2 linked regions of the Zea mays genome follow. The main gene of each other region encodes a partner of the protein of the gene in region 2 in a complex. Links are inferred from orthologs where the notes say so. Each region holds a gene or a part of one and is shown on either strand. Other genes may lie near its edges.

Region 1 (4,268 bases), on a different chromosome or scaffold from region 2:
TAAGAGAGAAGAATTTGAAACAATTTTAGAGAACTAAGTGTGTAGGTTGAGAGAACCAAGTGTGCAATTTAGGTGACTACAAAACTCATAGTAAGTTTAGAAAGTTGTGTTTACAACTTATAGAACAAGTTCAATACCACCAAGTACAATTGACAAATTATTCAGTGCAAATCCTTTAAAATATATATTTAAAGATTTTCAAAAAATGAAACTTTACATATCCATAGTACATAGTCATATATAAAGATGTACACTTGGTTCAAACATGTTTTTATAAAATTTCATATAGAAACACGACTTCCCCATGCATGACTTTTTTAGCCCAAGCCTTTATTTATTGAGGGGACAACAAAATTCCTAGGATTTTGTCCTCTAGTGCATATGCACTACAAATTTGCCATTTTATATATAATATTTTAGATTGGATTTCAATCTTAAAATTTAAGATTATATACATCCATAGGTACATTATAAATGTGCACGATTTTAATTTTTTAGAAACTTATAAGTATATTTGTATACGGTTTTCACCATTCCAGTGAGTAGATAATTTGCACTAAATAGTTTTCTAGTAAAATTTACTCTTATCTTCAAAGGCACAAAGAAATCGAGCCTACGGAGGTACCAAATTTGGTAACACTCCACCTCAAAAGGAGTAACGCTATCTCCGTCTCAAAAAAGTGATATTATAGGATTCGTGAATCGTGATAGTCAATTTTTTAAAAAATAAATAAATTTATATAAAATATTAGCAACATTTATATCTTTCAACAAGTTTATTATAAAAATATATTCAGTAACTCATCTAATATTATTAATTATACGCCATAAGTTTAATATTTTTATACATATCTTATTATACTTAGAAATATTGACTTATGAAGCGATAGAATGCCACCCTGGGCGATAGAACGACACCGAGTTGAGGCTGTCTCTGACAGCTGGCCTATCTCTTCTTTTATTTCAAATTTCACTATACAAACAGAATAACAAATCCCTATTTTATGCGATAGTAGCTCTCTAGATATTGTATAACTTGGTAACTCCCAAGGACCTTAAAGAGACTTGTCAGTAATAGTGCTGAAGTGGTGTAGGACATTACTCGCATTTTTGGGAAAGAAAGGTGAAACAGTAATCAGCCAAAATTATGGCAATGTACATTTATATTGTTCCATTCATTTCCCATCGTTATCTAAATCCGCTGCCTTAGCCCGCTGCAACTCGGATTCAACAGCAGCTACAATTCTGGAGACCATTGGTTCAAACTGGACAAGATGCCGACCCATGCCCAGCACCTCAAGGAGCTCATCCTCACAAAGAATTTTCGGAGACTTGTGTTTCTGCATCAGAAGAACGCCCTCCCCCGCCGCCTCATCACTGCCAATCTCTTCTGACAAACCTGTACCATAAATCAGGTTCCGCTTGTGCAGGCTACGTTTACCTTGCTCCACAGCACAGCCTGTAATGAACCTTTCTGTAGCACTCATTTTAAGGTTCTGGGTTGTCGGAATGGAGACGGATTCATTATTCCCTGGGTAGTAGCAAGGCATCCCCAATTCAGATTCGATCCTCTCCTTAAGAAAAGCCATCTGAGGCTTTTCACCATGAACGAGAATTACATTTTTGGGTGACAGGAATTCTGTCAGATCCATAATCCCTTTGGAGTCTGTATGAGGACTGAATGCTAGCTGATGGATCTGGTAAAATAAGGGGGGGGGGGGGGGGGGGGGGGGCAAAAAAACTCAGTATGAGGGGGCAAAAAATATCAAAAATGAAAAGTGCAATGGTTGGAGTAAATCTAGGGTGTGTTTTGTTGCAATGATGGGATAGGACGATCCCTTATATAAGGTTGTTTGATTCAAGGTCAGGGTTGAAATAGAACCATCCCAATGCCGTCGTCCTCAGCTGCCTGTCAGAACTAGACAGAGAGAGGGGATGCCGGGAGACATGGCTGTCCAAGTTGTCCCGCAATCAAACACACCCCTAGAGTGCCAAAAGGGACAACCGAAGTGTAATATGTTAGACACTGACAGCAGCATTCTGTCAGGAACTTCAAACATCATGATTAACCTCACAGAAAGCTCCAATTCCTAGACTACACGTTTCATATGGAGCGCTATTATGTTGAGTGCAAACATTCATATATAAAACTCGACCTGCGAGGGGTAAGACAGCCCCCGGGCATAGAATTAAGAAGAAGACCTTCTCACACAGGTCGAGAAAACCCCCGAACCCCTGCCCCACCCATACACAGCGGCATCGAAGCCCATGTGAGAACGACCACGACCGGGGCTGAGCCTTAGACCTGTGCTTTGGCATGGGACAAACGAGGGGATTTTTTTAACCACAGCCTGAAATTCGCTCCCACGGGGAGTCGAACCCAGGACCTGAGGAGTGCTACTCAGACCACCTAACCAACTCAGCTAGAGGCCCTTTCGCGCAAACATTCATATATGCATCATGAATGGTAATGAGTAGATTAAGATAAAGTATAAAATGTGCAAAACAGGGAGGGGACTAGGAAAGCTCCTCAATACATACAGACATACTACTCACAAAAAACTGAGAGACAGAAACAAAAACGACCACAGCCAGCCAACTGCAATAGACAACTAAGGGCCTCGAGTAAGCACCCATGCAGAACGATAAGTGGGGATTGATATGGATCGAATTTAAAAGCCAGACTTCAACAGTGTTTAAAACACTAGTGATTTACATGGCTTCCCCCTGGTTGACCATGTTCTTGTCATTATTATTTAAAGTTGTACATTTTTTGCAAGATATGAAATGACGTGAAAATCGACCTGACATCTGACATCAATATGAGTGTCCTCGTAATCAACCCTTGTAGGTTTCCCACACATCAACTTATGACCAATGGTTCCAGAAACACAATATCTGTGCGGGAAAAATAGAAAGGTGGCATCAGAATAATTGTAGAGTAAAGGGTTTGGTAAAGCTTGTCTACATGCAAGTAATTTAAAAGATTGAAAAATGGAAAAACAAGAAAGATAAAGAATATACCCTGGAAGTGTAACCAGATTCTTCTCTGATGGTGCCCATTTTTTAAACGCCTCAAGGGAAAATCCCCCAGTAATCATACCAGGTGTTGCAAAAAGTACACAGGGACCAGGGTTGTTAATGAAGGAACGTTCAAAGTGGCAAACTGAAATGTGAAAAATGTTGTCTCTGTTATTCCAATATTTGCAAATAAAAGACAGAACACCTCATACCTCAACTGTGGTTACCCATAAAAAGTGAAATAGCAACAATTATTATCAAAAATATGATTAAATAAACAAATATTTCAATAATAAAGAAACAAAAAATCAATTGGTGACATACAGTTACAAATAATAGGGAAAAAAGGGATAACTTGGAGGGTTGGTTAGTTAAAAATCTACAGAATATTTAGATTTTCAACTCAATCATATGAAATTTATCTTCATTCAAAGTAGGATTGGACAATTAGCTTTTAAAGAACTGAACCATACCATGCTTGAAGTCAAATGGATTATGCACTGTATGGCTGTCCTTGATCTTTTGACTAGTCCACCCAATCAACATTTTGTAGTACACATTAGCTTGAATGGTTAAACCTATAGCACAAATAATCAAAGATAACTTCACATGCAGCAGAAAGTACAAGGTTTCAACTTTCAAGAGACCACGCATACCAGCTGAAAAATAAATAGGAACTTTCAAGCCCATCCTCTCCCAATAGTCATCCAGTAACATACATAGTTCCTGAAATACAAGCGTCACAAATAGATACTCAAATTATGAAACCTTTGAACAGTGTGCCCTCGGAATGGTACTTCTCAGGGAAACTTGCTCATTTAAGTCATATATAGTTATCACACTTAACCATCACTTTGTCTCATAAAGTAGAATTAAGAGAACTACAATACCTGAGCTCTTCCCAGAGCAAACGTTGGAATTAGAACTTTACCTCCACCAGAAACACATTTATGTACCTAGAGGAAACATATACTCAGTTATGCTTTGGAAGTAAAATCAACTGTGTACACTTCAGAAGATTGGTTTAATACAGTCAGAGTGCATCTTCTTGGACGAAAACATCAGGAATAAAAAATATAGATACACTTAGTGAACTGTGTTGTGTGCCCAAATAATATTGAGCACATAGGATCCAAAACCTAGAAAATAGAGTAGTACACCATCGGAAAAGCATTGATTACGAAAATCTACAAATATATACACTGCAGGCTGCAGCAAAGTTCAGATTTTCATACCGCTTTTAAAAA
Region 2 (5,758 bases):
TGCTAGTAGAAGTAAAGAAATAGTTACATAAACCTGTGAAACATTGCTTATTTGTATAAAATTGCAGAAGTTATCATTAAAAAACAACACTACTACACTAGCATACTTTATCAACAAGATATAACAAATTGATTTGATGATTCTTGGATAGCCAAGCCACATAAATATGCCATGAATCTTTTGCTCAAACAATGTCAGAACACATATGGAAGACAGTGAACTTAGACAAAAACAGGCAAAAGCTTATGACTGATCTTGAACACTTACAGCAGCAGACCATATCATCGGATGTTGCTTTAAACCCATGCTTATACTAAACGCAGATAGCATGCATGTTTGGCTCTTCGATGAGATACGCCCAGCCCATGTAGGCTCTCGCTCATGAAGTATGACCAACACAGGCTCAATATAACCTGAAGGCATCATAAAATGGAAATGGCTGAGTTCTGAATATGGTAAGTTTGTACCAATATTAACAAATATGTATGCAAAATGTGTGGAAACAAAGGAACTTGTGATACACAGAACTAGAAGCAGTGGCCAAAGCAAAAGAACAAAATTAAACAACTGTGTCCCATAAATCATCACCAAGTTATAGTGTAGGAGAGGAGGTCTAGCCTGTAGCTGATCCCTTGGGTGAATCTCCGACCCACGCACACCCCCCCCCCCCCCCCGGTTGACTCCTCTTTGCGGCTCATGCTGCCCCTCTGCATGGCCATGCTGTCCATCTCTGCAGCCACCGACCATATCTGAATCCAAGGTCGGAGCTTGGTTAAGACCAAGCCAGGCCATGGCCAACCCTGCCTAATGTGATCTTCATTGTCTAAATAGTGATCTTTGTGCTATTCATCATTGTTTAGTCCTCAATTATATAGACTCCCACACACACACACCAAATCCTATGGTGAAGCTCCGCCACTGTTATCAAAACTACGTTTAAACGTCAAAACTCTAATTAGAGGTTGAAACCGTGTTTAAGCGTTTTGGCGTTCTAAACTGTAAAACGCAGTGTTTCATGCGTTTTATACCATTAGCTACTTTTGGACCCAGTCTGTTAGTTACTTTTGGGTCCAATCCGGCTCATGGGTGAAGTTTTGGTAAGCCACTAACCTCTCTGTTTTGGTATTTAACTTCATGTTATTGTCTGAAATTATGATATATTGTTATTTTTCATATGTTGTTTAAAACTACGTTTAAACAAAGTTTACAAAGTTTAAACGTTTAAAGACAAAACTTCACCCATGAGTGTTTTATCGTTTTAATAACCTTGCCACCCGCTACAGCGCCGCTTGATCCAACATCGCATGCCTCCTCCAACAACGCCACCCATCATCGTCGCCAGCAACCAACACCCGCCACCTCCAACGCTGCCACTAGCCAACGCCGCCACTAGCCAACGCCGCCCTCTAGCTCCTCTAGTAGCCAGTGTTGCCAGCAGCTATCAGGTCCTAGGTCAAGACGCCATGCACCAGCATCCAGTAAATCCACCATTTCATCGCCATTTCATCGTCGCCCTGCTCCTCTATCATGCCATTGAGGAAGAGGAGGCTAATTCAGCAAGTGAAGATGAAGACGGATGGTGATGATCAAGAAATGGATGCACACGCTCTTGATATTGATGAGTTGGATGATTGTTACTAATCCTAAATGCAAGTTCTAAATTGCATGTTGCATAGACTGGTGTGGTTGAACTTAATCCATTTCCTTTTATACTATTTGTTTTGTGAACTCAAGTACTCAACTTATGAGTATGAACATATCCTATCATGTCGTTTTATGTCAAGTCTGAAAAGATGTTTCAACGTTCGTCTCAACATTTAAATGTTGAAAAAGTGGCTCCTAACATTTTATCGATTTACCGCTTTAGTAACCATGATAAAACAAATATTAAAATGCGGGCTTTGATATAGAAAACAATCCAAAGTGAAAATAAAGTAAAAATAGATCCTATCTCACCATGCACAAATGTAAAGTCTTTGATGTGATTCATTTCTAGATCACGTAAATCAATCACATACGAAGATTCAATCCGAACAGCAGTGGAACTCAACACGCGTGTAGGTTCATCCTCTCCTACTAAGCTCTGCCCAACCTAATAATGCATAAGTAAAACCCTTGTAACTGGTTCGAAAGAGCCCAGCTTAGTTCTCAGAATGTTAGAAAACCAGACTAAAAGTTGAGGTTAAATGAATCAAAATTATAAGAGCTAAGAATAAACCACAGATAGTTGAATTTCATGATGAAAAAGGAGACCATCAAGCGAACTCCACCTGAGCTGCTTTCAAAATTATTATCTGTAATCCATAAACAAGTACAGCACCACATCTGCCTTGAGGATCCCCTTTTATGATAGGACCCCAGGCAAATGATTCCCTGCCCCTTTTCAGATGGAACCATTCAGGGCCTTCAAAACAATGCATTGAGCTGCAACATCACGAATCATAATCTGTTAGGCAAGGGACAACAAACGAGCTCAATCAAGAAGAGCAATTAGTTTAGGTTAGTGTACATTAGAAAGAAAGTCAGAGAAGAAAAACAGTGCTACATGTAACTTTATCTATTTGTGAGCAAACTAGCTCAATCATCAGCAGCTTGGTTCTAAAATGACTACACAGCAAAAACAAATCCTTTTAATCCCAAGCAAGTTGGGGTACACCGATCCGTAGATGATACCCAAGTACCCAACAAAGCAATCAATAAAGTGAATCTAAAAATGACAAAAAGTAGAATCCTTCGACACCTCAAACAGAAAAAAAACATGGGGTCTTTCTTTGTAAGTTGATATTGTTTCATTTATCCCTTGTCACGCCATAAGAAAAACTCTAATATCCAATGCTGTTATTACTTTTAAATTTACATCATTGTGCCGACATACAGCAATTGAACTTTTTTTATTCCTAAGTTGTCCAAAATGAGAAACGAGTGGATTATGTGCTACCTTGTCCGCAGGCCATTGATGCTGTCATCAAACTCCAGACATGTTATTTTTGCATCGTTAAACGTAACTGCAATGGAGTCTCGCCTATTCTCTGTGCCATCGGACAACACAGCCATCGATTCAATGTTACCGTGAAGCCTAAATGTCGTTCAGAGAATGATTAGTCCTCCAAGATGCACAAAATCAATACCTGAAATTTACAGCTAAAAGTGAATGCAAAGAGGCAAGAGCCATTTGTTTGCACCTGTAATGGCACACAAGTTCCAGTCGAGCCCCGGAGATACCATCCAGGATGGTGCCGGTAGACGAAGAATTACCCGCATCCTCGGCCCCAGTCGCGACCTCGGCCCTCACGGCATACACCTCGAGCACGTTAGCCGCCGACACAACCAGGTTGGGGGTAGGACCCACTCGCCGGGGTGCCCTAGCCGCAGTGGAGTCAATATCGCCGTCGGGTCCAGCGGCGGCGGTGGGCGCGGGCGCGGGCGTGGAGAAGGCGGCAGCGTCGGCGGGGGAGTGGGTGATGAAGCCGGCAGCGCAATGGTCGATTCCGGTGGGCAAATGCATCATCTTGTACGCCGCGTAGCTCATCTTCGCGGGATGGGAGGCGCGGCGACGGCGATGGCCCCGAGCTCGGATTTGACCGCGCGATTTTGAACGAAATGCGACGGGACGAAGGGGGGTTTCGTACCAAAACCCTAGAAAACCCTTCGCTCAGCGAAGACATTTTTTGCAATTTTGGGACTAGCTTATTCATACTTAGGGGTGTTTGAATGCACTACAACTAATAGTTAGTTGGCTAAAATTTGTTAGTGGAATTAGCTAGCTAATAAATAACTACCTAACTATTAACTAATTTACAAAAATAGTTAATAGTTAAACTATTAGCTAGGATGTTTGGATGTTTCAACTAATTTTAGTCACTAACTATTAGCCCTAGTGCATTCAAACACCCTCTTAGGCTGGGCTGGGCATTCGGTTTTTTAAAAATTCGGTTGGTTTTTTGGTTTTTCATATAAAAAACCGATGGGTTTACATAAAAAGAAAAGGTGACAAGTTCGGTATTGGTTTTTTACTTTGGTTTATCGATAAAACCCGAATTAAAAAACCTGAGCTTACAGGGTGTCTCTCATGCCAAATAAATAAAAGCATGCCAACAGCTCACACAAATATAATCAACACATTTACATGTCAGGTACACAAAATTCAGGCAATCAGCTCACACAAATATAATCCACGTATTTAGTTGCAAGGATTTAGGTGTTGGGGCCTTTATCTTTCGAAGGTCTTCAAAAACACGACTAACATGTTCTCCAAGTATAATATATATACAGGGACCTTCAGCCTTGGGATAAAGTTGTACACGATATGAAAAGTGCAGTTTGGGAGAAGGATGAACCAGTTCCGAAGATACCCGTGTAGAAGCTTCGGCTTAGCGGTGGAAAATGAAACCGACTTAAAGGGGAAAAGGTTGTCTAGTCCTCGATAGATTATCGCTAAGTCAATAGTAAATGTCAAGGGTATGGATGTAATTTTACACAGGCTGCGTCATGTGCCTATAAATAGATGAACAGTAGCACTGTACTGTTCACGCTGACTTGTATTCATTTTCACGTCACACTTGGATTCTTACCTTCTATCAAGCCGAAGGTATCAATATAATTCAATATTGTTAATGTTTATTCATGGTTATTCAATAAGAATATAAGTAATATAATGATTATTTGTATTCTTTATACGTAACTCATGCTTCTGCTTTCCATTATATATTGAAATGATGAAGGTATGACCTTCACGACCTTCGTTTGAAGATCATTATATCTTAAAGGAGATAATGCTTCGGAGGATGAAGACCTTTAACCATTAACATTTGTGTTGCCTTGTTCTTAATTCATAGTATTTGAGAACAAGTCCCCAACATTGGTATCCACCTCCGGTGAACTCATTCGACCACCTTCGGCAAAGCTATGATCTTTTCGTCATGCCGCCGAAGAAGTCTTCCGGGCTAGGGGCTGCATTACAGTCGCTGGACGTCAACCAAGAAACACTACGCGAAGCCAGAAGCCAAAAAAGGAAGGCTACAAGTCCAACGCCTCAGGAGGAGGAGTTGGACCAAACCTCGAAGCCATCCATCAACAGGTCCAGAGGAAGAAGGAGAAGATGCTTCGTCTCTCCGATTTACAGAAGAAGATCGATGAGGCTGCTGAGGAAATGTGTCATCTCACTCAAGATGACCAGGACCGAAGATCTCAACGCAGAGAGCTTCGTCAGGACAATTCCTACGATGATGACGAATGGTATGATGATTTGCATCATGGAAATTTTGCTTTTGATGATGCTTCTCCTCTATCAGCAGAACTGCAGGCTACCCCATGGCCGCCATCATACAATCCACCCCATCTCCTCATGTATGATGGGCACTCAGATCTAAAGCAGTTTCTGATGAGCTACGAAGCAACCATATCTTCATATGGGGGCAATACTGCAATCATGGCGAAATACTTCGTCATGGCATTCAAGAATGTTGCACAAACCTGGTACTACTCTCTTCGGTCAGGAACAATCACATCATGGCAGAAGCTGAAGGACATGCTGATCACCAGTTTTCAAGGGTTCCAGACGAAGCCAGTTAATGCTCAAGCTTTGTTCCAGTGCACGCAAGATCACGAAGAATACCTCCAGGCGTATGTCCGAAGGTTCTTGCGTTTGAGAGCACAAGCACCCACAGTGCCCAATGAAATCGTCATTGAGAAGCTGCTTCAGAAGATGGATGAGTACATCCAGGCCGATAATGATTTCCGCCAGAGAAGGGAAGAAGCT

Evidence for each region. The genes of interacting proteins can lie anywhere in the genome.
Region 1: probable cleavage and polyadenylation specificity factor subunit 1 (region 2) and cleavage and polyadenylation specificity factor subunit 3-II share a complex: the UniProt entries of both Arabidopsis thaliana proteins name them as parts of the CPSF complex. The link is inferred for Zea mays from reciprocal best matches to the Arabidopsis thaliana genes CPSF160 and CPSF73-II.

The regions. Positions count from the first base shown.
Region 1 is NC_050098.1:223,882,193-223,886,460, forward strand, and holds the end of cleavage and polyadenylation specificity factor subunit 3-II, read right to left. Parts: coding exon 4,257-4,268; intron 3,978-4,256; coding exon 3,912-3,977; intron 3,748-3,911; coding exon 3,678-3,747; intron 3,600-3,677; coding exon 3,495-3,599; intron 3,167-3,494; coding exon 3,025-3,166; intron 2,899-3,024; coding exon 2,805-2,898; intron 1,984-2,804; coding exon of another isoform or gene 1,972-1,983; exon of another isoform or gene 1,698-1,971; coding exon 1,176-1,697; 3' UTR 1,028-1,175; downstream 1-1,027. UniProt on the Arabidopsis thaliana protein: Component of the cleavage and polyadenylation specificity factor (CPSF) complex that play a key role in pre-mRNA 3'-end formation, recognizing the AAUAAA signal sequence and interacting with poly(A) polymerase and other factors to bring about cleavage and poly(A) addition.
Region 2 is NC_050097.1:87,302,060-87,307,817, forward strand, and holds the start of probable cleavage and polyadenylation specificity factor subunit 1, read right to left. Parts: upstream 3,695-5,758; 5' UTR 3,530-3,694; coding exon 3,183-3,529; intron 3,077-3,182; coding exon 2,939-3,076; intron 2,425-2,938; coding exon 2,271-2,424; intron 2,093-2,270; coding exon 1,957-2,092; intron 414-1,956; coding exon 268-413; intron 1-267. UniProt on the Arabidopsis thaliana protein: CPSF plays a key role in pre-mRNA 3'-end formation, recognizing the AAUAAA signal sequence and interacting with poly(A)polymerase and other factors to bring about cleavage and poly(A) addition.